Tamandua tetradactyla: one gene and its partner. The protein of the gene in region 1 purifies or fractionates together with the protein of each later gene. This does not show direct contact. Links are inferred from orthologs where the notes say so. Each region holds a gene or a part of one and is shown in the gene's direction. Other genes may lie near its edges.

Evidence for each region.
Region 2: the proteins of AGO2 (region 1) and GEMIN4 purify together in Homo sapiens (affinity purification with western blotting; 4 studies listed by BioGRID and IntAct, with this or other methods). This does not show direct contact. The link is inferred for Tamandua tetradactyla from reciprocal best matches to the Homo sapiens genes AGO2 and GEMIN4.

The regions. Positions count from the first base shown.
Region 1 is NC_135332.1:86,912,778-86,928,807, forward strand, and holds the start of AGO2 (protein argonaute-2), read left to right. Parts: upstream 1-9,192; 5' UTR 9,193-9,793; coding exon 9,794-10,115; intron 10,116-10,232; exon of another isoform or gene 10,233-10,344; intron 10,345-11,019; coding exon 11,020-11,215; intron 11,216-16,030.
Region 2 is NC_135332.1:54,514,158-54,530,226, forward strand, and holds GEMIN4 (gem-associated protein 4), read left to right. Parts: upstream 1-8,691; 5' UTR 8,692-8,805; coding exon 8,806-8,815; intron 8,816-9,034; exon of another isoform or gene 9,035-9,056; intron 9,057-11,771; coding exon 11,772-14,941; 3' UTR 14,942-15,127; downstream 15,128-16,069. Other genes in the region: GLOD4 (glyoxalase domain-containing protein 4), read left to right, coding at 2,917-2,982. UniProt on the Homo sapiens protein: The SMN complex catalyzes the assembly of small nuclear ribonucleoproteins (snRNPs), the building blocks of the spliceosome, and thereby plays an important role in the splicing of cellular pre-mRNAs.

The DNA.
Region 1 (16,030 bases):
TTTGGAATATTAGTCATTAAACCGAAAGAGTTACATGAGTAGTTTTCATAGCAGTCCCCAGCCCTGACTCACCCAGGTCTTCCTTCCCCTGGGGTTTTCTGGCTCTGGCTTTGCCCCAACACTGGGCCCCGCCTCCGCACCCCATGGGGCACTGCCTACCCCCCAGCCCCAGGCAGGCAGGGCCCCGCCCTCCTACTGCTGCTGCCTAGAACCCAGCTGAGTGATGGAATTTCCCCCAAAATTTTTACTAGGGGTGAACACAGGCAAAATACTTACGGGAACCGGCCCCAGCCTGGAGGTGACCCATTTCCAAAAATACTGCCCTCACGGGTGCAGGGCCTCCCCGCAGGGCCCGTTCCTCCCTGCCCAACCTGAGTCCCACCACTCTCCTGTCTCTCCTTTCCTTCCTCCTCCCGAGAGGAAGGTGATGACCACAGCTTCCCAGAGGTAGGGATGAGTGGAAGTGCAAGTCCCTTCTTAGGGTACGGCGCAGCTTCCTGCCGGGCCAGCTCTCTGTCCCTCCCCAACAAGGCAGAGGGGAAGGGTCGTTCCTGAGGGGACCCTGCGGTGGCCTCAGGGCAGGGCGCAGGGGAGGTGGTGTGGCGGGGTGGGCCCCCACTTAGGTGTCCCGTACTCCTTGCTTTCTGGGGCCAGTGTTCACGTGTCAGCACCTGCATGCACCACAAACTCCCTCTGTTCCAGCCTGCACCGATGACGTAACTACACCTTGCAGGCCGTGCTCTGCCCAGGTGGCGTCAGGAGCCATCATAGCCACTCAGGATGGGTTTGTGCCACCCTGTCTCCCATAGTGTTAAGCATGCCGGGATTTGGAATCTGAGGACTGGGCAGTTAGAATGTGACCGCAGGCAGACCCGTTCTGACCCAGACCTGGGCTTGGCCGGCAGGGGTTGAACCCGAGGTCAGAGCAAGTGTTGCACATGGTCCGTGTGTCTTGTGCAATTGGTAGGCTGAAAAAACACACTTCACCGGGAAGGCAGGTTAGGTTTGGGTTTGTCTTCATTGTTCCCAGGGCCCAACACCATCCGTCCTGTAGGTGCCACGTAGCTGTTTGCGTCGTTGCTCCAGCTGGCGGAAGCAGATGTCCCCTCTGCACTTACTGCCTTCTGTGAGAGTGTGTCCATTCGCTGCACTGCAAGGCTGCTGTGGCTGAGCTTAGTGTAGTCCCATCACCCTGCATGGCCAGTAGAGCGGCTGCCCCGTGGTAGGCGACAGGTAGACTCGGAAGGTGCAGCCAGGTGCCCTGCTTTTCCGGGGGAGAACCTGTGCGACAAAGTCTGCCCTCTGGTCTCTGCCCCTGTGAGCCTGTATCCTGGGGTGAAGGATGCAGCCACCACCTGGCCAGGGCTCCCCAACAAGTCATGTGACCCCCGAGCCTGCACCCTCTCCTCGTGGGGGGGCGTAAGGAGGTGCCGCCTGGTGAGTGGCACAGAAGGATTGTGTAGCCCTGAGCTATTTCTGTCACTTTCTTTGCCTTTGTAATTTCTGGCTGATACCCAGTGTGAGGCAAATAGGGGTCCTGTGGCCCAAGTACTAATGCTAACTCTGCAGTTTTGGGGCACGCTTTGCAACTCTCAGTTTCACTGGGACGTTTTTGGCTCCAGGCGGGCAGCTGAGGTCACAGCCCTGGAGGGCCCTGGGCTGCGCAGGAGCCTTGGCAGGTACGCCACACGTTCATGTCCCAGTAGCAGGACAGACGGACATCTACCCCAGCCTCTGGCTCCCCAACCCGTCACCAAAACTGCTTATTTTGAGAGGGAGGCTGCTCGCTTATTTAAGAATTCTGTGTGACTGAAAAGACTTTTTCCTAAGGGATATTTGTCACCTAGTGATGAGCAACCAAGCAGATCATTCTGGTTTTTTAAAGGTCAGATAACTCATCAAAGGGTGTGGTGGAGGAATGCCGCCTTTCAGGGTTGGTGGCCGGAAACCCGGCTGCCAATTGCGCAGCCTCTCCTGGGCCTCAACCCAGCAGCCCTCTGCTGCGGAGCTGGGCTCATGGCGATGGCTTAGCAGCCTGGGTGGGTCTGGGCTGACCGTTCTCTTCCAGCTTCGAATTCTACAGATATATCCCACGTCACCTGTGGTTAAGGTTCGGTAAACCCTGCAGGAAAGAAAGGCTGGGTCCACAGGGTGGGGATGGGGTGGGGGTGCAGCGAGTGAGTGTCTCTCCGCCTCACTCGGGTCTGTGCGCCCGACCAGGTGCAGGGCGCACTTTTTGAAAATGGTGGTTCAAATGCTTGAATATCTGGAAAATGTGTAGCAGAATCAGAAACCTTTAACAAGTGGACTCACCCCCTTGCTTGTCCCTGGAATGCTACTGTGGATGCCGGTCGCCAGGTCAACCCAGGTAGAGCCGCAGAGCTCTGGCTGGCCATGATGGGGGATGTTAGGAAGGGGGACAGGGCCTGGGGCTGGGGTCCCCAACTTGGCACCACAGCATGAGCCCTGGGGAACAGCGTGCAGGCCGGGCTCCAGAATGGCCAGTATCTGACTGCAAACTCAGAGCCCCAGCCCTAGCAGGCAGTCTGGGGGCTGCGCAGCCATGAATCATGAGGGGCTCTCGGGGCCTGATGCCACACATCCCTCGGGGTGAGGTCTTTTTGGTCTCCAAGTGGCAGATGGGTCAGGCCAGCTGTGGAGATGAGGGCCACGTGGAGAGAGGGGGCCAGACTTTGTGGGGGGATGTGTGTGACTTGGGGTGATACAGGGATACAGGGAGATGGACCATAGGGCTAGTCCGTGCATCAGAGGACAGAACCCTGGTTAAATGAGAGCCACAGGTGATGGAGGTGGGTCTGCGATGGCAGCAGGGCTTGCAGGGACACTGAGAAGTGGGGACCAGCTGCCGGCTGTCCGTCTGTCCTGGGCGTCCTCTCAGCGCTGTTGGGTGACTCGGCTCAGTGCAGAGAATTTGCCAGGTTGAATGCAGACAAAGGTGTCTACCCTTGAGAAACACAGCATGGCCCAGAAATTGAAGCACAGCGTGCTGGCTGGAGTAACTAGGTGCTTCCCGGTGGGCCCAGGTCTCCGAGGCCTGCTAGCTCTTGCAGGGCAGCAGGGAGGACATGTACGTGCTTGGCCCCTTGCTTGGACTGTGTGCTCCAGGGGTCCACTCCTCAAGCGTGTGGATGAGCTCCAGGCTCTGAGGTGAGCTTGTCAGTGGGTTGTCATCTAGAGGCCAAGGAGATGACAGGCACCCAACCTGGGAGGCATGGAGGTGGGCTGGGAGGGCACAGTGGTGAGCTGCCCCATGTACTGGGTATGGCCAGGCCCTTTGAGGGTGTAGGTGAAGACATTCATACAAGTTTTTTTTTTTTTTTTTTTTAATTTTTTATTGATTGTAAAGAAAATTACAAGAAAGAAACACAAACATTCCCAACACATACACTCAGCAATTCGCAATATCATCACGTAGTTGCATATTCATCATCATGATCATTTTCCAGAACATTTGCATCAATTCAGAAAAAGAAATAAAAAGACAACAGAAAAATAAAACAAAAAAAGAAAAAAAAATTTTTACATACCATACCTCTTACCTCTCCCTTTCATTGATCACTAGCATTTCAAACTAAATTTATTTTAACATTTGTTCCCCCTATTACTTATTTTTATTCCGTATGTTCTACTCATCTGTCGACAAGGTAGATAAAAGGAGCATCAGACACAAGGTTTTCACAATCACACAGTCACATTGTGAAAGCCATATCATTACACAGTCATCATCAAGAAACATGGCTACTGGAACACAGCTCTACATTTTCAGGCACTTCCCTCCAGCCTCTCCATAACATCTTGGTTAACAAGGTGATATCTACTTAATGCATAAGAATAACCTCCAGGACAACCTCTCTGCAGCCATTGACACTTTGTCTCATTTCCCTCTTCCCCTTTTTGGTCGAGAAGATTTTCTCAATCCCTTGATACTGGGTCTCAGCTCATTCTAGAAAGAAACTCTAGAGTTTTTTTCAATCCCTTGATGCTGAATCTCAGCTTATTCTGGGATTTCTGTCCCATGTTGCCAGGAAGATCCACACCCCTGGGAGTCATGTCCCACGTAGACAGGGGGAGGGTGGTAAGTTTGCTTGCTGTGTTGGCTGGAGAGAGAGGCCATGACTCCTTCCACCCTGCGAGGCAGGTCAGATGCCCGCTGGAGTTCCTTGAGCATGCTTATAGCAGGGTAACTGCTGACAGTCTGGTCAAGCGGGACTGTCCCCTGGGCACCCAGGTTCTGTGGCACCTCCCGCCCCTACCCAGATTTTTGAGAACTTCCAGAAGGTTCTCACTTTTCCTTCTTTGCTCACCCCAGTGTCTGACCTGCGTGCCAGCTTTTCTTCGTCTTCATCCCTTACCTTGATGGAGGCCTGGGCATGTGAGGGGGTGCTTCTGTCCTTTTGTGGGAGTTGGGGGCTGCAACCGGGTGGTTGTACCAGGGGCTGGGTCCCACAGTCCGGCTTTTCCCCGCCGACCCGGCAGTACACCCAGGAAGTCGATCACTCATTTCCTGCCTGTTTCTCTTACTCTTTGAGATGTAGCTCTTAAAAATTGGAGTTTTATTTCTTTCTTCAGTTATTTATTTATTTCAGAAATAAATAAATAAATGGGAGCTCCTCAAAATTAAACACTTTTGTGCATCAAAGAACTTCATCAAGAAAGTAGAAAGACAGCCTACACAATGGGAGACAATATTTGGAAACGACATATCAGATAAAGGTCTAGTATCCAGAATTTATAAAGAGATTGTTCAACTCAACAACAAAAAGACAGCCAACCCAATTACAAAATGGGAAAAAGACTTGAACAGACACCTCTCAGAAGAGGAAATACAAATGGCCAAAAGGCACATGAAGAGATGCTCAATGTCCCTGGCCATTAGAGAAATGCAAATCAAAACCACAATGAGATATCATCTCACATCCTCCAGAATGGCCATTATCAACAAAACAAAAAATGACAAGTGCTGGAGAGGATGCGGAGAAAGAGGCATACTTATCCACTGTTGGTGGGAATGTCAAATGGTGCAACCACTGTGGAAGGCAGTTTGGCGGTTCCTCAAAAAACTGAACATAGAATTGCCATACGACCCAGTAATACTATTGCTAGGTATCTACTCAGAGGATTTAAGGGCAAAGACACAAACGGACATTTGCACACCAATGTTTATAGCAGCATTATTTACAATTGCAAAGAGATGGAAACAGCCAAAATGTCCATCAACAGACGAGTGGCTAAACAAACTGTGGTATATACATACGATGGAATATTATGCAGCTTTAAGACAGAATAAACTTATGAAGCATGTAATAACATGGATGGACCTAGAGAACATTATGCTGAGTGAGACTAGCCAAAAACTAAAGGACAAATACTGTATGGTCCCACTGATGTGAACCGACATTAGAGAATAAACTCGGAATATGTCATTGGTAACAGAGACCATCAGGAGTTAGAAACAGGGTAATTGGAGCTGAAGGGATACAGACTGTGCAACAGGATTAGATACAAAAACTCAAAAATGGACAGCACAATACTACCTAATTGTAATGTAATTATGTTAAAATACTGAATGAAGCTGCATCTGAGCTATAGTTTTTTTTGTTTGTTTTTTTATATATATTTTTTGTATTTTTTATTTTTTTTCTCTATATTATCATTTTATTTCTTTTTCTGTTGTCTTGCTACTTCTTTTTCTAAATCGATGCAAATGTACTAAGAAATGATGATCATACATCTATTGATGATATTAAGAATTACTGATTGCATATGTAGAATGGAATGATTTCTAAATGTTGTGTTAGTTAATTTTTTTTTTATTAATAAAAAAAAAAAAGTTAATGGCACGGGCAGGCCATGGTAGTTCAGCAGGCAGAGTTCTCACCTGCCATGCCGGAGACCTGGGTTCACTTCCTGGTGCCTGCCCATGCAAAAAGGAAAAAAAAAAAAAAAAAAAAAGCCAAGGGCTTCACTGGAAACAAAAGCCACGGTAAACACCAAGGTCCAAATGCCCTAGAATACAAGGCCCAAAGCCACATGTCCTGGTCCCATCAAATCCTTTAAATTGTCACCCTTTTCGTTTCATTTGTCAGAGTTCTTTAACTATAAACCAACTGTTGATGTTTTTGAGGGGACTCAATATTTATCACTGTTCTTTGCAGGTTGGACTCAATAAATTGAGAAAAAGGATAAAGATGCAAAGCAATGCATTTGGAGGCAAAAATAGAAACTACTATCCTTAGAGAACATAAGTGGATGAAGTAGGAGAGGGTGTTTGTGTGTTTGTGTGTGTGCAGGTGGGTGTGTGTAGGGGAAGCCATGGTTCAACCACTACTCAGTAAGTGGGGAAGCAGAAACACGAAGGTATCTCCATCCAAAGAGAAATAAAGGAATTGAGGCAGTTAAGCATGTCAAACTTATTCTTCCCAACTTCCAGTGGGGTGGAGCAAGTACACGGGTAGAATAAATGCCAGGAATATTAGAGTAATTGATACCTCAGATTGGGAAGACTATAACAGGAATGTAGTAGAAGCATATAATCTTAATTCAGAGATTTTTTTTTTTTAACATGGGCAGGCACCGGGAATCGAACCCGGGTCCTCTGGCATTGCAGGCAAGCGTTCTTGCCTGCTGAGCCACCATGTCCCACCCAATTCAGAGATTTTTAAGAATTTTTTTTCTTGAGTAGGCATGCTTTTCCCATACTAAGTGCCATTTGTAATAGTTAATCTCCCGTTAGCTTTTTTTTAGCTATAATGAGTAAGAAAGTTATCTGAAGCACAATATGGTAATTGAAAACACCAGAAAAACTGTCACATACAACAATTTTATTTTGAAACAATGCATTCTAAAGTGCCTTGGAATGCTAAGAAATGCATTTTTTTCCTACTGTGTTACTACGTGTGAGTGGAGATAACCGAAGCTTCTTGGAACTGTTCATGACACTTTGGCATAAGGATGGGTTCTCTTGTAAATAGAATCTGGGTATTCTGAGGTGGGAGAGGGGGCAGTGGCTCAGGGGAGTTGCAGCTCTTATGGTGATGTTGGGGGGTTGATGAGTATTGGAGACAGGAGATAAATTGGGTAGGGAAGGTATAAGGGTTTCCATGAAAGAGAATAAACATGATGAATATGAAAAAAAAAATTGGAATTTTAAATAAACGTGCCTTGTGATCTCGAGAGGCTGGAGCGAAGGCTCGGTGCTGCCCATGGGCTCCAAGGTCCCCTAGGGGGCTGAGGGCTGCGCTTGCGTGGCCTGTGGGGAGTCCTTCCCCTCTCAGGAGCCACAGCCCCAGTGCAGCCATTCCTCAACGAAAAGACTGGTTTACCTTCCCGCCCTCGGTAGCTCTGACTCCCAGCACAGAAAGAACTGGAAATTGATTCAGAACAAAGCTGTGTGACGTGCTGCTGCCCGGGGAGGGCTGTGGTTGCGTGGCTGCCTGCGGTTGGCGGAGGAAGTGCTGGGCTGGGATGCCGGGGACAGCTTTCATGGGGAGGCAGAGCCCAGTTTTTTCCTGGAGGGACAGGAAGATGGGGGAGAATAGCTTGACCCAGATAAGGGCACCCGCGTGGTTGCCACTGGAGGTCCAGGCAAATTCTCAGACACGGGGTAGGAATTTGGGGCGCCAGGCAGCGGGGTCTCCTTGGGGAAGCCTTCCTAGGACTCCTACCCCCCGAGCTGGGGGCTCACTGCCGCCCCGGTTCCATGCTGGCTGAGCTGGGGCTGGGGGCTCAGCCCGGGGAGCTTGTGCCCTGGGGACATAAGGGCCCTACACCCACCCCAGTGGGCCCACCCGCACAGAGCTCCCTCTTCATCTGCTCCCTGAGACCACTGCACCTCTCCGGGTCCCAGACTGTCCGGGCACGGGGTCTGTGTTGCGCCCCCTCTGCCCACCTGTGCGCCTGTCCACTCCTTTGGCCTCAGACAGCACTTGGTTTCCATCTGGTGCTGCGAGGTCCGGGAGGCCCCGAGCATCAGCTAGCTGTGCTCATCTCCTCTCTGGTGTTTTGTTTCTGAATCCTCCTGCTTGTTTGGGTAGCTTACATGCGGGACTCCCTCTGAATCATGGAAACAAGGTCCCAGACGTCCGAGGGCTTGGAGGCCCCACAGGGTTGAATGCCCTCCAGTAGTTAATGGTTTCCTTCCCGAGGTGTAACGCGGTGGTCCTTGACTCGTTCCTCTGTTGGAAACCTGTTATGGTTTCTTGTGATTTTCTATTCCATATGCCTTCCCATGAAGTCGTTTCAGTGTTTTCGTTATTAAAAGCCAGGAGCAGAGGAGAAATATCTTGTGACATTTTTTATGAAAAAATTCCCAATTTTTTCCCCCACTGCTTTTATTAATACAAGTTGGTCACATAAGATGATGAACAGTGTTAATTTCCGTTGTTTCCCATGGTGATTTAGATGTGATAGGGTTTGGGGGAAGCTCCTTAGAGTAAATCGGCCCTACCTGAGAAATCGCCCCTAGGTCTCATCTGTGCCAGTCGGTTGGATTTAAGTGAGGTGAAACCATTAGCTTCACTAAGGGGCCTCCCTGGGAGGGGCTGACACCGTGGGACTGGGGGGGGGGGCCTCAGCGCTGCCCTTCACCAGCACGTTACTTGATCTGCCTGAGCCTTGGTTGTTTTCACCTCTAAACGTTATACTTTACTTTGTAGCCACCAGGCTCAGTTAAGAAACACGCAAAAGCACTTTGTAAACTGGGGGGGCGATAAACAGAGGATGGCTCTCTTCACGGACGCAGGCTGTCTGCAGTGCGGTGACAGTTCTCCTTCTGCACCCATGCACCTTCTCAGCTGCCTTGTTTCTACGTTTGCAAGGTTCCGCTTTCTGAAGAGATGTAATTCACTGAGAGCGGGCCCACGTCTGGGTTTTTCCTCAGTGCCACGTGTAGGGAGAGTGCAGAGCTGACCCGTTGAACAGGCCGATGTGGACGGCAGCATCCACCCCCCTGCTGCCACCAGCATCCACAGCGCAGGGTCACGTGGGGCCTGCTGAGCTTATGAAAAGTGAACAAACTTCATCTGTTTGATTGCCCGCAGTCTGAAATTGTTCTCTGGAAACAGCACGTGGGCTGCTTCAGAGCACAATTTACTTTTGTGTCCTCGGTCCCTAGCACACTGCCCAGCACATAAGAGGCACGTGAGCCTGCTTGATGAAGGAAGGAAGTGTTTACAAGTCTGCGGGTGTGTGCTCCGTGAAGTGACAGCCGCCCATCGGAGAGCCCAGAGGCTTCCAGATGCGGTGACTTAGTGCAATAAATAACCTGTTTATTATAGAAAACAGAAAAGTAACTCAAGGACTCCCTGAATTTTCTTGGGTGAGAAATGCAGTGAGGACAGCTGAATACTTTTGTTTCCACTGAATGTTTATTGCTTTTCTTCTACACCACAGTTTGAATTTAAATCATTCCCTGGTTAAATTAATGCTTTAATATTGAATAGGGGGAGGCTACTAGACAGCTTTTGCTGCAAATGAGCCTTATCCTTCTGGGCTTGCCTACCTTGCCTGTAATCCTCACTGTTCCAGCTTTCTAATTTCTCATATGCAAAGAAGGTGAACAGATGTGCAGGTGACAAGTATGATAACCAGCGAGTTACAATAATGCACAGTAAAGGTTAGCGCATTGACTTAATATGGAGACGCTTCTTTGTTGGCAGTGTGATGTTGGTCTGTGCAGAGACGAGGTCACTAAGTCATTTTCTGGGACCAGAGAGACTGCCAGAAGCCACTGGAATGGAGGCCTGCGTGTGCTAAGTGGTTTTCAGGGCAAAGCATGGCAGTTTGCCTTAGCGCTGTGTTGGGAAAGCTTGATTTTCCTGACTTCTTAGGTTGGCAGCATCTCCTTCGTGACTTCATGGTCCACTGCAAGAGGCCCCTGGGTGCCTCTCCCCTCTCACCCCCCTGCCTCATGCTTACAGAATGTTTCCAGGCTCCTCTGTGCGTTGGTGGCCTCACAGACCCTGGGGAACGTGGAGGTTTTCACCCGGAAGGAAGTCCTGGCCTGGGTCGGGGGGACTTGCAGCCCATGGCCTTGACAGTGAGGACAGTGGGGTGGAGGAAGCAGGCAGCACTAAGACGTTCCCGCCGTGCTCCAGGTCTTGGAGGGATGCTCCCAGTGGGACCGTTGGGCAGGAGCCGTGCTGGACCAGGCTCTGAAGGGTTCTTGGGATGGGGAAGAGGTGGGAGGGAAGGCGGGCATTGGTTGTCAAGTCCTTCAGTGTTGGAGCTAGGTGCTGGGAACCACAAACACCGTGAGCTGGATGAGGATGGGGGTGCCTGGAAGCTGAGAACCCTGTCGGATGCTTCTGCCCTAGCCCTTGTGGGGTAAAATGGGGAGCTGAGCTGAGAGGACTGAAAGGGTGTGGGGTGGGGGTAGATGAATTAGAAACGCAGGTGAAATGGTGAGGAAGGGGGAACAGTTGGCTGTGAAGGATGGGGGCGGGTCTTGATGGAGGGTGGGTCTTCCATGTCTTCAAGGAGCCGCAGGCTTGGGGGAGAGATGTTCAGTTGCAGATCTTGAGTTTGAATTGACTGTGAACCTCTCATTTAGCAGGAACTCAGCAAGGGGAAGGGATCTGTAGGTTAAGGATTTACTGATTATGAATGGGGGAAGTGGAGAGGACCACGCTGGGAAAAGCCAGCAACTGGGCAGAGCAAGGGGAGGACCCGGGAGGGAAGAGTCTGAAAAAGAAGGGCCTGGCCAAGGTCACGGGCCCCGAGTGAACCCAGGAAGGTCACAGCGCAGGTGGTGGGAGCCCAGCAGCAGGGGCAGGGGCTGGGTGCGGGGGGCCAGGTCACGCCCTGTGGGGGGATGAGCTCTGGCATGGACGGGGACGGCATTAACGTCTGTGGAGAGGGGAGAAGGAAAGGCACAGGGCCACGGATCATGGAGTGGTAAGAATCATGTGGGAAGAAGGCTGTTCCCCACCCAGCCTCATGGCGGATTGCTGTGGAGTCGCCTCTTCTTCGGGTAATGGGCCGTCTTTTGCTCTTTTGCAGTGCTTGCCCCTCCCGCGCCGCCACCACCCCCCATCCAAGGATATGCCTTCAAGCCTCCACCTAGACCCGACTTTGGGACCTCTGGGAGAACAATCAAATTACAGGCCAATTTCTTCGAAATGGACATTCCAAAAATTGACATCTATCATTATGAATTGGATATCAAGCCAGAGAAGTGCCCAAGAAGAGTCAACAGGTATTCTATTTCGTCCTTTATCAAACTCAATTAATTCATAAATGGGGTAACCTGTAAAAGGGAAATGCAACAGTTTAAACAAATCAACCCTCCAGTTAGCAGATCCTTCTGATTTTTTCCCCAGAAAATTTCAATTGTTTTTATTTATTTTTGTTTAAATGCTTTTTATTGAGATAAAATGTAAGTATAATGAGATGCACACCATGCTTCACCGAATTTGATGAAAGCTTGTCCCCGTTGCTGGCGTTGTCATGCCCTCTTGCGGTCATTCCCCTGCCCCAAAAGTAGGGGTGTTCTGATTTGTATCGCCATAGACTCGTTTCCAGGTCGGCTCCCGAGCCTGGCTTCTTTTGCTCAGAGTGGTGCTCCTCAGATTCCGCCTCATTGCGTCTATAGTGGCTTATCGTTTTTGCTGAGGGACACTTTGTGGCATGAATATTCCCTAATTCATTCGTTTCATCTTCCAGTTAAGGCACACGGGGCCACCTGGGTTTGGGCCGCCCCAGTAGGGCCGCTTGGGCCTCACTGTGCAAACGCCCACCTCTCCCTTGGGTGCAGCCGGCCAGTGCGGCTCTGGGGCCGAGGCATGTGTGGGAGCCGCATGGTCGTCTCCCTGGTGGCCGTCCATGCCCTTGCTCGCACTTGGTGTGGTCACTCTGATCTCTGCCATTTGGGTGGGTGTGTGATGATTTCTCGTGGCTTTAGCTTGCATCTCCTTGAGAACCAGCAAGTTGAGCGGGTGCCTTTTCATGTGCCTGCAGGCCATTCACATCCCATCTTCATAGTATGTGTCCCTTGACATCTTTAGCCTCGTTTTCTGTTGGGTTATTTGCCTTTTTGTTATTGATTTGTAGGAGTTTTTAATATATTCCACGTGCAAGTCTTTATTGGGAATATTTTCTCCCAGTCCAGGACTTGCCATTTCATTTTCTTAATGGTTTCTTTTAATAAGCTGAATTTTTCAAATGTGTCGAAGTCGAATTTATCAATTTATAAGAATAGTTGTGTTTTATGTCCTCTCCTCAAAATCTTTTTCTCCTCAGAGTCACAGAGATACTCTGTTTTCTGAAACTGGAAGAATTGTAGTTTTGGCTTGTATGTTTAAGTAACCTTGAATTAATGTTTTTATATGACATGAGTTAAGGGCCATTGAAAAGATTTCTCATTCCCCGTTCATTTACCTGGGCATCTCTGTTTAAAAAAAAAGAAATGATTGATTATGTACCTGTGGGTCTACTTCTGGACTCTCTATTTTGTTCTCTTAAACAACTTATCTGTATTTAGGCCAGACTCACTGTTTTGATTACTCTAGATTTATGGTAAGGTTTGAAACCAGAGAGATAAGTCCTGCAAATTTGTTATTCTTCTCAATTTTGTTGGCTATTCTCAGTCCTTTGTTTTTTTTCAAATGAATTATACAATCAGCTTGTCAGTTTATACCAGACAACCTTTTGGAATTTTTTCATTGCAATTGCTTTGAATCTATAGACGAATTTGGGGAGAATCATCATTATACTAATCTCTGAACATGGTAGAGCTCTCTGTTTATTTGTCTTAGTTCCTTTTAGCAGGTTTTTTGTAGTTTTCATGGAGGTCCTTTATTAAGCTTATTCTTAACTTTGCTGTGTTCTTTAAGGCTGTTGAAAATAATATTTAAAAATTTAAAAATATTTTTATTGATAAAACAATATACAAACATTCTTAACTTACAAACATTTTGTACGTGGTACACGGTCAGTGGCTCACAGCATCATCACATAGTTGTGTATCCATCCCCATGGTCGTTTTTTGAACACGTTTATTTCCCAGAGGGATGGGATTTGCTAGCTCACGGGCACGGAGTGTCTTCTCCGGGTGGAGGCGATGTTGTAACCTCCCTTCTGGTGATGGCTGCACAACCCTGAGCACAACAAGCCACTTAGCTGTGCTCTCTAAAGATGTCCTTCCCCCAAATTTCCAACCATTCATTGCTAGTAGGAGATATAGATTCAGTGTTTGTGTTTTGACCTTGTATCCTGTGGCTTTGTAAATTGTGCTTTAGCAGAGCTTTTGTTTTTCTTTCTTTCTTTCTTTCTTTTTCCTTTGATAGGTTCCTTCGGGTTTTCCAAGTAAGGCGTCATGTTGTCTGTGAATAAAGGTGACTTTCTTTCTTTCTAGTTGTTTATTCGTTTTATTTCTTTTACTGGCCTTGGAAGTCCAGTACAGTGTTGGATAGAAGTGGTGAAGCAGACTTCCTCGCCTTGTCCCAGTCAGGGAGGAAGCATTCACTCTTTAATCTATGAAGTATGCTAAACTGGGATTTTCACAGAGTCTCCTTATCAGGCTGGGGGAGTTATCTTCCTAATTTGCTGAGAATTATCATTATCATTGGGTGTTCAATTTTGAAAAATGCTTTTTTGCGTCTGTTGAGGTGATTGTATAGTTTCTCTTTTTTTCCTGTTAATGTCAGAGAATTATGTTGATTTTTTTCAGATGTTAAATCAGCCTTAAATTTCTGATATAATCCCATTTAGTCATGGTATATTATTTTTATATATTGCTGGGTTTTATTTGTTAGTATTTTGTTGAGAATATTTGTGTTTGTGTTCCTAAAGAACTTTGTTCTGTAGTTTTCTCGTCAAATTTTGATATCAGGTTATGTGAGAGACATGCTTCTCTCCTTATACTGAAGAAGTGTCAGTGAATTCATTTCTAGTTTTCTTCCTAGGGAGCATTTTAATACACTTTAATTTCTTTAGCAGATATCAAGCTTTTCAGATTTTTCTGATGCTTCTTATATAAGTTTTGATAGTTTGTGCTTTTCAGGGAATATGTTTATTTCATCTAAGTTTTTTAGTTTATTGGCAGGAAGTTGTTCATAATACTGTTTTACTATCTCCACGTCCTCTGGTGAAAGACCTATTTCATTCTTGATATTTTTACTTTGTATTTTCCCTTTCTGTTCTTTTCTCGATTAGTTTTGCTATGGGTTTGTCAGTTATATTCATCTTTACACAGAGCCAAGCTTTACTTGTTGAATTTTCTCTTTGTTGATTTTTCTCTGATTTTCTCTTCTGATCTATATTTTCTTTCTTATACTCACTTTGAGTTTAGATGATTGATTTAAAATCTTACCATTATTTAAGCACTATTTTAGCTTAACCTACACATTTCGATACATTGCATTTTAATTTCCATTCAGTTCAAAATGTTTTCTCATTTCCGTTGTGATTTCTTCTTTAACCATGGGTTATTTAAAAGTGTTATATTCAGTTTCTCACTGTGGGGATTTTTTTTTAATACTCTTTGCCATTGACTTCTAATTTAATTTCTTTATGACCAGAGAACGTTCTGTAAAATTTCAGTCTTTTGAAATTCACAGGGGCACATTTTGTTGCTAACCATGCGATTTATCTTGGTGAATGTTCCCCTTGCACCAGAACACAATTTATATCCTGGATTGACTCTGGATATCAATGTTTATTAGTTTGGGTTGTTTGAGAGTATATTCTAGTCCTCTGTATCTTTCCTGATTATTTTCTCTAAGTATGAGGTGAATTTGTCTGCTTCTTTGTTTAGCACTGTCTGCTTTTGTTTCCTGTATTTTGAAGTACTTTATTAAGCACATGCTCAGTTATGATTATGTCTTCCTTTCATCATTCGGAAATGTCCTTCTTTATATTTGGTAATTCTTCTTGTGGTAAAGCTTTATTTTTGTCTGATTAATATAGGCTTGTGATCTTTCTTATTGTTACTGTTCGACTGATACATCTTTTTCCGTGGTTTTATTTTCAGCCTTTCTTATGTATATGTTTGTAGTTCATGTCTCACTTGTAGACTGTTATGTAATTGGGCCTTTTAATTGGAGTGTTTGGTTCATTTAAATTTAATATAATTATCAGTGGTTGACTTTAAGTTTGCCACCTTGTTATTTGTTTTCTAATTCTTCAACTGTTTTTTATTCTTGTTTTTTCCCTAGTGAAGTCATCAGACTTTTTTTAGTATTCAATTTTATTTATTCTCCTAGCTTTTAGGTTTACCTCTTCATACTTTTTAAATAATTGCTCTACATATTTCTGCAGGCATCTTTATTTTATTTTACCATAGTCTACTTAGAATTAATAATGTAACTTCATACAAAATGTAAGAATTTATAAAGCATAATTTATGTGTCCTTTTGCTATTATCATGTAGTTTACTTCTATATGTTATACACCCCATAGCACAATATTATTATTTTTGCTCTTAAAAATTAAAATGGTTCTGTTTATCCACATATTAGCCATATCTAGTGTTCTTTATTTCTTCCTGTTAACCAGTTTTCATCTGACATTAATTATCTTTGTCCTGAAAAAAGTCTTTTAGCCTTTCTTGTTCATGTCTGTGATGAACTCTCCCAATATTTGAAAAAAATCTGCAGATGTCTGTATTTCACCCTGATTTTCTTTTTGGCATGGGCAGACTCCAGGAATCGAACCCGGGTCTCCAGCATGGCAGGCAGGAATTCTGCCACTGAGTCACCATTGCACCACCCTCACCCTGGTTTTTGAAAGATAGTTTAGCTGGATATAGAATTTTGTATTGGCACCTTTTTTCCGCCCTCAACACCTTAAAAATGTCATTACAGAATCTGAATATTACTATAAATGAGCTAGACTTAACAGACATTTATAGGACATTACATCCCAAAACAGCAGGATACACCTTTTTCTCAAGTGCTCATGGATCATTCTCAAAGATAGACCATATGCTGGGTCACAAAGCAAGTCTTAACAAATTTAAAAAGATTGAAATCATACACAACACTTTCTCGGATCATAAAGGAATGAAGTTGGA
Region 2 (16,069 bases), about 32 Mb from region 1:
CCTCTGAGCACATTTCTTATTGAGTATAGTAAGATTCAACAGATTATTTATTTTTAAAATGAGATCATACAGTATTTGCTCTTTTGTTTCTGGCTTATTTTGCCTCACCAAATGCCCCACAGATTCATTCACATCGTTGCATGCCTCACAACTTCATTCCTTTTTGTAGCAGCACCTTCCAGTATATGTTTACACCATCGTTCGCCAGTCTGCTTCTCAGTCAGTGCATCTTTCAGCCACTTCTATTTACTAGGCCTCATGTGTAATGTCCAAGGTCAGCAGTCCATCACAACAAGTTATTTTTTTTGTTTGTTTATTTATTTATTTTAAAAAATTAACAACAAACAAAAACATTAACATATCATCATTCCATTCTACATATATAATCAGTAATTCTCAATATCATCACATATTCATCATTTCTTAGAAGATTTGCATCAATTCAGAAAAAGAAATAAAAAGACAACAGAAAAAGAAATAAAACGAAAACAGAAAAAAAAGATTATACATACCATACCCCTTACCCCTCACTTTCATTGATCACTAGCATTTCAAACTAAATTTATTTTAACATTTGTTCCCCCTGTTATGTATTTTTATTCCATATGTTCTACTCATCTGTTGACAAGGTAGATAAAAGGAGCATCAAACACAAGGTTTTCACAATCACACAGTCACATTGTGACAGCTATATCATTATTCAGTCATGATCAAGAAACATGGCTACTGGAACACAGCTCTACATTTTCAGGCAGTTCCCTCCAGCCTCTCCATTACATCTTGACTAACAAGGTGATATCTACTTAATACGTAAGAATAACCTCCAGGATAACCTCTCAACTCTGTTTGGAATCTCTCAGCCGTTGACACTTGGTCTCATTTCACTCTTCCCCGTTTTGGTCAAGAAGGTTTTCTCAATCCCTTGATGCTGAGTCTCAGCTCATTCTAGGGTTTTTCTCAATCCCTTAATGCTGAGTCTCAGCTCATTCCAGGATTTCTGTCCCACGTTGCCAGGAAGGTCCACACCCCTGGGAGTCATGTCCCAAGTAGACAGGTGAGTCTGCTTGTTGTGTTGGCTGGAGAGAGAGGCCACATCTGAGCCACAAAAGAGGCTTTCTTGGGGGTTACTCTTAGGCCTAAATTTTAAGTAGACTTGACCTGTCCTTTGTGGGGTTAAGTTTCATATGAACAAACCCCAAGACTGGGGGCTCAGCCTATAGCCTTGGCCGTCCACACTACTTGTGAGAATATCAAGAATTCAACTTGGGGAAGTTGAATTTCTCCCTGTTCTCACCATTCCCCGAAGGGGACTTTGCAAATACTTTTCCACTCACTGATCGAATCACTCTGGGATTCATCGGGGCATCACTCTCGACAAACCAACAAAATCTCTTGTCCTACCCAAGATTCCAAGTACTTATGGTGTTCAATCAAGCTGTCTACATAAGTTATATTAGGAAATGCACTAGTCAAAATATAAATTTTGTACCAAATAAACATTTTTTGCTTTAGTCTCACACATAAGTTGAAATTTTAAAATATTAATTATCATCTGTTTTCAGCACCCTGCAGTAATGACATTCCTTTGTTCTTCCTCATGTACAAATATTTTTAAAATTTGTACATCTAGTCACTATTATTATACACTCTCGGCATTCCTAGATTATAGCATCTCAATCTTTATCGTCTATATTTCACAACTAGTTATTTTTAACAACTAGAATTCTAATAAGTTTGTTGCCAGTTTTCCTGAAAACCTCAAATACTTCATATTTTTAAATGGAGTAAAATTTTAATAGTTATTTTTTGTTAATACTAGAATATGTACATATTAAAGTCATAGCTAGATTAAAATAAATAAATAAAAAATCAAATAGTACTAGGGTTGTATACAAATGAAGTGAAAAGTCTTGCCCTATCTCTGAGTACCATTGCCCAGAGGCAGCCATTTTCAACTGTTTCTTCTGGTATTGTTTCTAAATTTTATATATATTTATATAACATATAAATATATAATATTGTAATTTTCTGATTTTCATTTGCAAATATCATCTGTTCTTGCTGAGGTAGATGAGTGTTCTTTCAATTATTTCTCCAATCTAGTTAGTTGCTCCTTTCCTTGTGGTCTGATATCACTTTGTTCACAGCTCTGATTTTGAAACATGCTCAAAATCATTGTTTCCACATCTTAGCCCACAGCTATTCTACACAGCTTTCAAAGCCTCAGACTGTGTCTCTGCTCCTGCACCTGCACTCAGCACAATATCCACTCATGACAGAAATTTTGTCTTCTTAAGGTAGTTGCTTTTTGACTGAATGACTGAGTAAATGGAAACCAGACAGCTATTGGACAAGAAGTTTTAAGAGACTTCATTTCCAAGCCTCTGTCTCCTTTACAAGCCCTTCTTTACTATCAACCTTATGTGATAATAGATAAAAGGACTCTTCTGGGAACCAAAAAATATTATGAAGATATCTTTTTGAACTAAGAGGTCTAAAACTAACCAAAAAGTACAGTAGTTCCAGACTCAATTGCTAAAACATCAAATAGCTTTTCATATTTGGCCTTATTATGAGACTAAGTTTCATGACTACTAAAGACTCTTGAGAGCCTGTCCTGACACTAAGACTGGCAGCACTTTCTATTCTGTGGCCTGGCATGCTTAGTCAGTCTACCTCACTTCCTTGCTGCAGGTTTTGCCCTTTACTTTGCAAAGTGAAAATCCATCAGCAGTTGCTCAATATTCACCAACATCTCCTGTCAAATTGGAGTATTGTTACTCTACACTAGATGAATACTCTTGAAATATTTTATTGATTGTGAATAGTGCAATCAGGTATAAAGTGGGCTGTGTGTTTTGTTTAAAGACTTAGAATTAATGTATATTTCAATTCTTTCCTTTTTTTTTTTTTTAGGCGATGGATGCAGATAAAAGTGATGAGTGGTTTGCTAAACAAAATAAACCAAAGGCTTCAGGTTAACAGAAGACATCATTTAGAACCAGTGTTTATGATTCTCCACCTGTTGCATCCATTCATGATAATACTCTTAAAACTTGGTTGTTTACTATTCAGGCAAAGAGGCTGGGGGATGAAGATTTGTGTATTCCAGTCTTTGAAATTCTGATATATTTTATCTATGAAATCCTATTAGAAGTCCAAGGAGAGGGAGAACTCCTACTGTACTGTCACTGGAACGACATATTCTGAGTACAGCTCTATTACATCAGTAACAAATTATTTTCCAGAGGTGGAACAGCTGTATGGGAATTTACCCTTGATTGGGGATAGAATTTTGATATGTTGTGAATAATATATAGTTTATGAAAGCAACTATTCAAATAAAGCTAAATCAGTTGCTTATAACAATAATACTTCTAGCTCCTGATGATGAATCATTCTAATGTCTTATTCTGGCAGGTCTTGACATATAAAAATTTTAAAGGATATTGTTTCTTGGACCAAAAGATTTGGTTATTTGACAGCCCATTTTTCTTGCTTTTAAATTTTGAGTAGCCAGACACAACAGACAAAGGATCTAATATCTTGAGTGTTGCTACATGCCTGACTCTGTGTGCTAGTTTATGTAATTTTCTCTTTTAATCCTCTCTAGAAGAGAACATTGTGTTAGATTCCTTAAAAATGAATTAGTCATTAGCCTGAAAAATATTTTTAAATTTTTTTGTAGTTTTCTATTTAGTTCTAGAGAAAAAGTAGATTTTAATCACTAGAAACAATAATATTGGATATATCCCCCCATCCCCACCCCCCCCTTTTTTTTTTTACTGTATGCTGTTGTATTAGTCTGTAAGACTTGTTATTTAAAATGGTGACCAGGTTCAAATTTTGGGGAAGAAACTGAGGAGATTGGAAAGGGATTGACCCAGAAGATACTAATTCCAAAATAACATAAAATTACCTGTAAATCTTAGCTTCAGCTGTTCTCCCATCCTGGCAGGGTGGGTTAAGGACATTTCTGAGTGAGTTTCAGCTCACCTTATGGGGCTAATCTTATTTTCACTGAGGGAAAAGAATCCTTGTCTAGTTCCATACACTTCTCATTCAACTTAAATTGAAATTCTGTATCTTAGAGAAGGAATCATGAACTTCAAAGCAAACCAAAGTTATCTGTGTTCCTCCTCTCGATAAATGATAATTGGCTCATTTTTTTTCTATACATGGTGAAATTATAAATTTTGAATAATCAGAGAAACTTTTGTCTCTGCTAAACCATTTGTGAATTCTCAGATTTTATATTAGATTATTAAGTCTTGATGTTTATCTCTAGTAATACTCTCCTTGTGAAAAGAAACTAATTTTTCCAGTATACTAGTTCTGCTATATGATGTGACCTTTTAAATTTGTTATAGTAAAATAATTGTTTTATGTAAGTACTGAATGACTAAGCAATCCATACTAAATTCCTTTTTATCTGCTTATCTTTTTTGTTAACATACCAAATTCTTTTCTATTAAACGTATAGCCATGCATGATAGAGGGTGCCATCTGTGCTAGAAGTCAGTGCCCTTAATCTACCTGGGACATCTTGGTTTTATGTCTATCAGCCCCTTTTTCTTTATCTCGTTGCCTATCAGTTTTCCTCTTATTGGAATCTTTCTTTTTATTCTTCCTAAAACCATTTAGTGTACTTTGGACTTTTACCAATGAGCCCAAAATTTTGCTTCTGTACAGTTCAGCTATATTTTTAAAAAATTTTAAATTATGTATTTAAATGATTTTAAAGCAGAAGTTATTCCCCATATCTGGGAATGATGTGATTAATTAGAAAACAGTGTTGTAATAAGAAACGTGGTTTTGCTCTGGCTGATGTTTTGAACAGATGATTGGAAAGCTCTTTAGTTTCTCCAGAGTTAGGTTTTCAGGGTAGTAATTTTTATTTGAATTGAGGAGTTTGAATTCCTAGCATATTAAGCATACATTCAAAAATATTTTGAATTTAAATCCAGAGAGATTTAGAATGGCCTATTGTAGAAGTTCTCCTCCTAGGTAAACCTGCATAGTAGCTGTATGAAATCCACGTCTGCCTGACATCTCAGTGGAAGCAGCAAAGCCATGGACATTCAGTCCTCCTTTGTGTGACGCTTCCTACCCATCTCCCCTGTCACATAGTGCCATTGTGGCTTAGTTGCCAGAGTTTTCACGAGGGTTTCAACTTAATCCACTAAAATTGATGGTAAGAATTACTGGGAAATCTCCTATTTACTTTAAGATTTTTTATCCTTAGCCGTGATAAATCAATAGGACGTTTACTCTTTAAAAAGAATTGTCCTTGCCTTAGACCTTATTAGGTAATAGTCATGTGGTTTAGAATTAAAAATTTAAAAAAAGTATACAGTGAAAAGTCTTGCTTCTACCCCTGCTCCTATAGATAACCACTTATTAAGCAATGATTTTCTCCATTTTTCCCACAAAATTTAGCACACTATATTCACTATACCTTTTTTTATGTAATGATATATCCTGGAGATCTTTCCTCTCAGTACATAGAGAACTTTCTCTATGGAAATTAATATGCCATAGTTTACATAATCCTTTCTTCTAATGGAAGCTTGGAATGTTTCCAGCCTTGTTCCAAACAAAGATACAATGAGTAACTATAGACCTCTTTATCCTTACATCTCATTGTGCTTTTCACATTAAAACTTTATGCTTCAAAATTGCTTTCTTACACACAATATTAGAATAGAGGCCACTGCTTTTCATTCTAGACTCAAATATCCAACTCATTTCTTAAATTCCTCATCTGTGGATGTAATTCTAGAAACATCCTAGAATTATTTTCAGTGTCTTCTCATTTATGATAACTTTATAAATTATCCTGAGGTACTAGTTAATCTGATGAAAATCAGAATCCCATTTCTTTTCTGTTTGAGTGAATACCGTTGAAAGGGTTTGAGTTAGTCAACAGTTGCTATCCAGAGGAGCAGTGATATGAGCTGCTTAGAGGGAGGTGAGGGGAACAAATCCATTCTAATTTTTTGGCTTTTTTTTTTTTAAACAGGTCATTTTTGTTGTTTTTAGAAGGTAATGAGAAGAGGGTAAGTCGAGGACTTAGATTCCTGAGATGAGAATGGAGGTATGGGCTAGTTTACCTTTTTTTTTAAGGCACTCATTTTTATGTAGAAACTATGAGTGCTTTCTGCAGTCCTAATTAGGGCAAGTTTTTACTTTTATCAGATTTTATAATGATTTACAGAATGGTATGGCTATACCTAGAGCTCTCAAATTGACACCATTATTTTGGAGCAAGGGGCTTAAGACACCATTATTCATACCACATGACTCCTGGCCTTAAGAACATCAAAATGTGTTCATGATATCCCCAGAGAAGAGAGACTAACACTGCTCTTTTGTGGTGTGGCTCTTGTCTGGTTTATAAGATGTAAGGGTTACTTTAGCCATAGTAGTCTCCAGGGTATACTTCATTCTTAAAGAATTAGTGGATTTCATCTATAGCAACTTCCTGCCAATACATGGACAAAAGACCCTGGAGGTAATGAGATTTGGTTTCATTTGTCCACTTAAGTCTGTGGTTGTTGCTTCTATATTTAATGAACTGGAGTTCACTTAATGTCATGATCTATGAAAATAGTTTTTTAATTGAAAAGTACTGGGAAATCCCATGCTACAGCAGACCTGTTTCTCTGAAATGTCTTTAATACCATTTAGCTCTCCATATCTCAGCCACACAGTATGTGCACTGATAGTTCCATGATGGCACTAAAGAGTAGTTGCTGAGCTCAAGCACTTTGGCCCTTGCAAACCTGTATGAGAGGTGTGTTGTGCTCCTAAAAAACCCACAAACACATACATGTATCCCCACAAACATCCCCAAGCAGGTTATGGAGTAGTCCCAAGAAAATGTTGGTTACCAGCCCTTAGTGATGCTTTCAGAGGCTAGAATTTTGAAACCATCTGCTCCAGTGTTTCTCAGTTGCCTTACTGTGATGCATCAATTATATCACCACATTGTCACTAAAAGTTTGGCTTTCCTCACAGTGTTAACATCATTGGGTCTGTGTCCCAGTGGGGACGATTGCTAGTAGGGGTTCAACACTAGCATTTTGGAGGACAGGATACCTTTCCCCTCTGTTGTGTTGGTAAGGAACCGACAACCCATGGAGATATTAAGGGCCTGTGACCTCCTGAGAGGCTGAGCCACTGGAGAATGACTTCACTGGTCTCCGGTATAGATCGCACAATTCTTCCCCCACCCCTCTACATTCACCAAATATCTACATTTGCTCTGAGAATAGGAAGGCTGGAGACTTCAGTTATACTTAGAATCATACAGAAAGCCAGTTCTGTATGATTTTTTAAAAATAGCTTTTGGACTCTGGGCACTCTGACGGTCACTTTGAGTTTACCTCCTGCCCAACTGCAGATAATCAGTCCCATGAAGTTTAAGTAATTTATTGGTGTCTTAGCTAAAGTTGGTGTGATTTCAGGACATTTCAGTCCTCAAGGTCTTTTAAGAAGCCCTTTCCCTACCAGAGAAGCCATGTTGCTTCCTTCCATTCACTGATCTGTCCTTAACCAGCCTCGTTTTTTTTCAGCTCTTCCACCTTGGCAATATAGATCCGCATGGCATCCATCTTGGACATTCCCTTGTTCTCATTCCATGCCTCCCACTTGGCCTTGGCTCTTATATCTGAGGAGGGAGGGGCAGGGATGTTGCAGTCTCCCTGGGTGGCCTGTTTGTAGTAGCTGTACACCAACAGTTTCTCCTTATCGCTCACTGGACCCTTCAGCTCCTTGACAGCTGCACAGGCCAGCTCAAACTCCAATTGACACATGAGGGTAGCTGTCCTTACTAGCTGGGAGCCAGTGGTAGGAACTACAGTGGAGAATTTGAAACACTTGAGACTGATGATTAGATCTGGGAAGAAGGGAAAGGGAGACGGGGTAGGGCGACAACCCAGGATACTTGTATGAGTGTTCTCAGTGAGAAATCAAATTTGCTTTATAAAGGGAAAACTGCAAACTGGAGGTTAATTGGTGTTGAATCTGTCTCACAGTGTTAGGTTGTGTGTCCCCGTGCGCGTGTGTTGGCTAGCATAGTATTTTGGGGGGGGGGGGGTTTGTGGAGGGGGCTGCTTATTAAATGTTCCAAAGTGTCTGTGATGCCCTAGAATTAGTGAGTGCTGCTGTATGAGGGAGGCGGTGTGGGATGAGATGCACTGGGCGGTGGTCTGTGGGGCTGGGCGGCTCAGAATGTGATTGCGAGGCCCGCTGCAGGTAGGAAGGATCTCAGAGTGTGGCGTGTTTGTGTGGGACAGTTGGTAGCCTGGGGAGGGGCATTCGGATTCCGGCGATCAGTGGGTAGGATGAGTGTGAGTCCAGGGCAGAGACGGGGCTATTGGGTAAGAACCGACTGGAGCTCACGAAGCAGAAATGGGCAGGGGAGTGGATAGATAGGTATCTTGGGTGGCAAGGGTAGGGCTGCGCTGGGGCGTGGGTCCCAAATCATAATAGGTTCAGAGGCGGGGCTCACAGCGGAGAGGAGGGCGGTGCGGGTACCGGTTCGTCAGCTGGTCGGAGGCTTGCGCCGACAGGGGTCGCTGTGTACTCGGAGGGCTCGTTGGTGAGACCCGCGCATGCGCGCGGGGCGGCGGGCGGTCAACGGCAGTCGGCGCGGGAGCGGGCGCTGGGGCTTGTGGGCGGGACCGGGTGGCGGCCTATTGTACCGCCCCCCCCCGCTCCGCCCATTGTGCCGTGGCGCCTGCGCCGCGCCCGAGGCCGCTGAGGGGGAGGGGTGCCCGCGCCGCCGCCAGCTTCGCCGCCATGGACCTAGGTGGGTGTCAGGGCTCTCTGGTCCCGGGCCCGCAACGGGCAATCAGAGAGGCGCTGTCCGGCCCGCCAGCCGCCTCCGTGCACGCTCGCGCGGGCCCGGGCTGAAGGAGACCTCCGGGTCGGGGAAGGGCTTGGGGAGGTGGGGGTGTCCTTGGAGACCGGCTTTGGCCCGGGCTCTGCCGCTCCTTTGCCGGCCTCTTTCCCTCTCGGGACCCGCGACCACGTTGAAAGGCCAAGCGGATGTGAGATTAGATTTCCTGGAAGTGGAAGGGATTAGTGCACGTGCTTTGGAAAATGCCAGGCTCGGAAGACGCCCCGAGGGACTCGTTTATTGAACGCCTGTTACATTCTTTTGACAAGTTTCTTACCCAGTCGATTAGGTTTCCTCGTCGATAAAATGGGGATGATGATAATATACCTACCTCACAGAGTTTGGGGGGAGGGAATTTAATCGAGACCTCATGTATACAGTGTCTGGTACAGTACTTTACACACAGCAAGCGCTGGTCCAACCAGCAGTTGTGCCGGAAGGGCTCCAGCGGTTGAGGTGCTAGTTTTTGACCCCACGTGTTTCTTGTTTCAGAATCCTTATAGTCTGGGAAAAGGAAGAAGGAGCGGATGCAAATAAGTGGCTCCTTTCCCCCACCGCCCACGCTGCTGAACATGCTTCTGGGGGGATAGGACCAGGAAGGAGGCTGTTCTGGGAGAGCTGGGAGTGAGGCACCCCATGTGTGCCAGTACGTGTAGGCTGGAGAGATATGTTCCGGTCCCTGTCCCCAGCCAGCCTCGCAGTGGTGGAATAGTAGAGGGTGAAGGGTTCGGAGGTCTGCAGCTGTGCAGGTTTCTTTCCCAGTCCCACCACTATGTAGTTGTAAAACTGAGCAAATTGTTTCTGAGCCTCAACCTTCCCACTTCTTAAACGGGAATAATAGTCCCCCAAAAAGGCAGTTTTGAAGATTAAAAAAGTCTTATATGTGTAGCACCTAGCACAGTGTCTGGCACAGAGTAAGCACTTAAAGGTGGGGGAGTCGGGGGGGGGTGGAGTGGGGAGGGCACCCATAAGTACCAATTAACCAGTTGTGATAAAGCACTTGATCAGCATTCCTGTGCACCCAAGGGGCAGCCCATTTATGAGGCTGATCCATCGTGGCTCACTGTGGCAGCCTCCGACTCCCAGGATGTGCTACACTGCTGAGGGGGGCTCACTTCCAGCAGCACATGTACATGCTGTTGTCTCTGAAAGGTACCTGTTGGGAGCCACACAGCTGCTAGAATAAAATTAAACTTACACAGCCAAAGGAAATGTAGTTTGGGGACCCTGACAGAGCAGCCTAAGCCAGAAAGCCCCCTCAGCAGTGTAGCGCACCCTGGGAGTGTGAGCCTGCCACAGTGAGCCACGATGGATCGGCCTCGTAAGTGGGTTGCCCCTTGAGTGCACAGGAATGCTGATCCCTTGGCCTTACACTGCTCCCATGAAAAAAGCAGGATAGTCTTAATTCTCCTGGAATCAGGGTTCTCTGTGCTGACTGGTGAAAATGGGGAAGATGTGCTCTTGACAGGAGGGACTGCGGAAGTTGATGGCATCTCTGAGCCCTGGGAAAGGGAGCGGAATCAGGAATATTGAATAAAAAAGCAAGTTTTGTGCTCTAATTTAAGTTTCTGGGCCAAAGGAAGCATACCTATTAAAGACCTAGGTCCTATGTTTCTGAACTGGGGAAGGGGAAGACTAATGACACGGTTCTGGTTCTGCCAACAATGGAAAGATTTGGAGAAACCAACATTCACTGAACACTTAATCAGACTCTTTGTAGTGTCTTTCTTACTGTAGCTATACCTTATTTAACTCTCACAATACACCTAGGAGATGGAATCAGAAGCTCTCAGTGAGCACCAAGCCAGTGCTAGGGCTTGGTTAGTATATTTCATTTGATCCTCACAGTCATGGTATGAAACTTATATATAACCTCACGTATGCAAAAAGGGGGCTCAGAGAAGTAATCTGCCCGAGATCACATTGCTTTTAAGTGCCTGAGCTAGAATTTGAACCCATGTCTGATTAAAAGTCTCAAGATACCTTCCTTGATAAGTGTAAATTCGTGGCTCACTGAAGGAAGGACTTTTCTTTCTTAATCTAGTGTGGTATTTTTTGTGTCTACCTTGTGGTTTCCACTAGAGAACCAGGTCCCTGAGTCGCTTGGTCTAAACTGGAAGAAGCTGTGGGGCAAACTGTTTCTCTGAAAAGCTTAAGAATGTCTGGAACTTGTTTGCAAAGCCAGACTCTAAGGGAGAAGGGAAAAGGGCATGCGTGCCAACTGCCTTCATGTGCATCATTACTTAGGAGCTCAATTGCCGTGTTCCACGCTCTGTACCTATTCCTCGCGGCCCCAGTAGTTGGGTACTGTTCTGCCGTTTCACCGTGCCTCCCTTTGCTGCGGAGTCTAGCCTCCACGAGTCCACCTTTTCCTTTCATAATCTTTTCCCCGAAACATCTCATCCACTTCCTTGATTTTGGTGACCCTCTGGGCCGACAGTTTCCAGAATCACATCTTAGTACTGACTCTCTTCCTGAGCTTCAAGCTTGCATCGCCAGAGAACGTCGCTACCTTAATGTTTTACCTCAGATTCCAAATAACCAAAACCAAGCTTGTCTTCCCTCCACACCTGTTCTGATTCTCCTTGTATCCCTCTCTCTAATGGTACCCATCTTCCTGCCAGTTCCCAGGCTGGAGAGCTTAGGAGTCATTTTTTTATCCCTCAGCTAAGTCCTCTTGACTCCAGCTCTGTAGTAGCTCTGGTAGCCACCCCCTCCTTTCCCTCTCCCACCGATCTCATTGACAACTCTTAACATCTTGAACTCTGATAATACCAGCTCACCTCCTGCTGTCTCTCCCTATAACTTCTGCTTACTATTTTGAAATGTTTTTACATCCTACCTTATTCGGCTTCTCTCTGTACAGGACCCTTAAACATCTGTGAAGAAATGACTATCCTGCATGGAGGCTTCTTGCTGGCCGAGCAGCTATTCCACCCAAAAGTGCTGGCAGACTTGACAAAGTCCGACTGGGAACACGTTGGGCAGCCCATTGTGGAGGCATTAAGGGAGATCTCCTCGATCTCAGCACACTCCCAGCCCTTTGCCTGGAAGAAGAAAGCTCTGATCATCATCTGGGCCAAAGTTCTTCAGCCTTATCCAGTTTCACCTTCTGACACCGAAACTTGGTGGCAGGAAGATGTATTCTTCTCAGTAGGCAACATGATCCCCACCATCAATCACACAATCCTTTTTGAGCTGCTCAAGTCCTTGGAAGCTTCTGGACTCTTTATCCAGCTCCTGATGGCTCTACCTACCATCATCTGCCGTGCAGAACTAGAGCGCTTTTTGGAGCACATGACTGTTGACACTTCTTCAAAGGACGTGGCCTTCTTCCTTAATGTCTGGTGGGAAATGATGAAGCACAAGGGCAATCAGCAGGACCCCCTGCTCTCCCAGTTTCGAACAATGGCCCATAGGTATTTGTCCTCTTTAGATGAGTTCTCCCACCCTCCAAAGAGGTTTAAGTCAGACCCAGATGTGTGTCCTACCATGCCTCTGTTGGCCATGCTGCTCAACGGGCTGAAGCAAATCCAAAATAATATCCAGTGCCCTGGAATGAAGTGTTGCGCATTAGCCAACTTGGCTGACATGCTGACGGTATTTGCACTGGTGGAGGACGACCCCCAGGAAGTGTCTGCGACTGTGTATCTAGACAAACTGGCCTCAGTGATCTCTGTATGGAATTCAGACACCCAGAACCCATACCACCAACAGGCGCTGGCAGAGAAGGTAAAGGAAGCAGAGCGAGACGTCAGCTTGACCTCACTGGCCAAGCTCCCAAGTGAGACACTTTTCATTGGCTTTGAGTACATGCACAACCTGCTGCAGGAATGGGGGGATGAGCTGCAGGCTATGCTCAATAGCAGCCAGGGGACAAATTACGATAGCTACCGGCTGTGCGACAGCCTAACTTCCTTCAGCCAGAACTTGAAGCTCTACCTGGACACCATCAACCTACCCAAGGAGGAGAGGCAGGTGGTCTCTGAGATGGCAGAGTGTGTCAAGGACTTCCTAAGGAAAACCAACAGTGTGCTGAAGACCAAGGGCTTTGAGAAGGACATCACCGCTTCGATCGCCATGGCCATTATTGAGCAGAAGATGGACCGTCATATGGAAATGTGCTATATTTTTGCTTCTGAGAAGAAGTGGGCCTTCTCAGATGAGTGGCTAGCCTGTCTGGTTAATAACAGGTCTCTCTTCCAAGAACCAGGATTGGTGCTAAAGCTGCTGGAAACGGTGATGGAGGTCAGTACATCTGACAGAGCCATCCCCGAATCACAGATCAAACAAGTAGTAGGCTTAATCCTGGAATGCTATGGAGACCTCTCACTGCCAGACAAAAATAAAGTTCTCTCAGGTGTCCTGCTTTCCTGGGGGCGAAAGGGCCTCTCTGAGAAGTTGCTGGTTTACTTAGAAGGTTTTCCAGAAGACCTCAATACAACTTTTAACCAGCTCACTCAGAGTGCCTCTGAGCAGGGCTTGGCTAAAGCCGTGGCTTCTGTGGCCCGCCTGGTAATACTGCACCCGGAAATCACAGTTAAGAAAATGTGCAGTATGGCTGTGATCACTCTTGGCACCCACAAGTTCCTGGCTCAGATTCTCACTGCCTTCCCCGCCCTCAGGTTCACAGAAGAGCAGGGTCCGTATCCACCCACCACTTTTGTGGTATCATGCCTCAAAGAAACTGTCTGGGGAAAGTTCTCTACACCCAAGGAAGAAAAGCAGTTTTTGGAGTTCCTGAGCTGTCTGATGAGTCCTGTGAAGCCCCAAGGGATTCCAGTTGCTGCTCTTCTTGAGCCAGAGGAGGTGCTAAAGGAATTTGTCCTGCCTTTCTTGATGCTAGACGTTGACGTGGTAGACCTCAGTTTGAAGATCTTCATCCAAACTCTAGAAGCTAATGCATGCTTGGAGGACTACTGGCTCCAGACCTGTTCCCCATTTCCCCTCATTTTCAGCTTGTGCCAACTCCTGGATAGCTACAGCAAATACTGGCAGCTCCCCAAGGAAAAGCGGTGCCTCTCTCTGGATGGGAAAGATCTAGTGATCCACATTCTAGAGCTGCTCTGTGAGATTGTATTGGCTAATGCTGAGACCTTCCCCCCAGATACCTGGACCAAGTCCCTGTCCTGGCTCCACCGGAAGGTGGAGCAGCTAGACTGGACTGTGGGCCTGAGACTGAAGAATTTCTTTGAGGGCCACTTTAAGTGTGAAGTGCCAGCCACACTTTTTGAGATCTGTAAGCTCTCTGAAGACGAGTGGACCTCCCAGGCCCACCCAGGGTATGGACCAGGCACAGGGCTTCTTGCCTGGATGGAGTGCTGCTGTATCTCCAGCACCATCTGTGAACAGATGCTCTCCCTCTTGGTGGTAGATCTGGGCAATCCTGAAGAGGTTAGATTGTTCAGTAAGGGCTTTCTGGTGGCCCTGGTGCAAGTCATGCCTTGGTGCAGCTCTCAGGAGTGGCAGTACCTTCACCAGTTGACCAGGAGACTGCTGGAGAAACAGCTCCTACATGTTCCTTACAGCCTAGAATACATTCAGTTTGTTCCCCTGCTCAACCTGAAGCCCTTTGCCCAGGAGCTGCAGCTCTCTGTACTCTTCCTGAGAGCCTTCCAGTTCCTCTGCAGCCAGAGCTGTCGTAATTGGCTTCCCTTAGAAGGCTGGGGTCATGTGGTCAAACTTCTGTGTGGCAGTCTGACCAATCTCCTGGACTCACTTAGGTTGATACAGTCCATGGGCCCTTGGGCCCAAGGGCAGGAGCAGGATCTGACCCAGGAAACCCTGTTTGTCTATACCCAGATGTTCTGTCATGTTCTGCACATCATGGCCATGCTCCACCAAGAGGTGTGTGAGCCACTCTATGTTGTAGCCTTGGAGATCCTGACTTGCTATGAAACCCTGAGCAAGACCAATACTTCTGTTAGCTCCTTGCTCCAGAAGGTAAATGAGCAGCGCTTCTTAAAGTCCATTGCAGAGAACATTAGCCCTGAGGAGCGGCGCCAGACCCTGCTTCAGAAGATCAGCAACTTCTGACATTTTGACTATCAGAAAAAAGCTGGGCCTCAATATGGTAAGCCTGAAGGGACCAGAGCTGAGAAGCACAAACCTCACCATTTTGTGAAACTGTACACAAGATATGATTATATGGCAAAAACAGTGTAAAGAAAATAGTTTCTTAGGTATTTGTACTGTACAGATTATAAAATTATCTTCTTTGGAGTCTCGTCTGAGTCTCACTTCATCAGTGATCCAGGTCTTAGATACTCTGAAGCTGGACTCAAATAAAATCTTAAAGGTCAAGTTAGGCTGGGAGAAGCATTTTCATAACTGAACTTTTCTACTCTGAAATTTGGCAAATAAGCCCAATGGTGAGAACACCCAAGTGAGGGGGAAATTATAGGGTATATATGTTCTTTTACGCTGAATCCTCTTTAAGAGTCAGTATTTTGACAAGGTATCTTGGAAAGGACAGCAGCTGCAGAAAAAACTAGCTCAGACTCTGCCACCAGTTGGCTGTGGGATTTGAGTGTCCCAAGAGGCCTGCTCCATTACAGAATGAGAGGTCTGGGCCAAGAAAAATTAAGCATTAAGGGGGTGGATTAGTGATGAGGAAAATGGGTATGTTCTGAGTGGAGGACCTGTGTCATCCAGCCTAACTCCAAAGGCCCAGAAGGAGCATCCTGATAAACAGCTGAGACAGGTTTCCAAGAATGGGTATAATCATCTGCCTCAGATGGGTTGTCATTGTTTTGGAAGAATGAGTGGGAACAGGGCATGGTGTATATAGAAGCATAAAAATAAGAATTAAGAAGTCGAGGTTATGAGAACTGGATGTGACGTTCATTCGAGGAGACTGGAGGCAAAAGGGTATGCCCCCTCATCTCCTTCCTGCCCAGACCCTCATTCAAAACAAGGCATTCTCCTCAGGCTCCCTCCACCACCTAAAGTAGATTGGCCCTGTGGCCAATTACCGGGCTTCCATCTTACTGATGCCTAATTCAGATTCACCAAGAAAGAGAAGGGCCTAAAGTTACGTGTGACTGCAGGGCTTAAACCCTGGAAACTTTTAACATGTTGTTGGAACCCACCATGAGCTGGGAAATGTGTTTTTTTCTGATGGGGAAGTAAGGTGTGAGCTGAGCCCTCTAAGGGCTAGAAGCA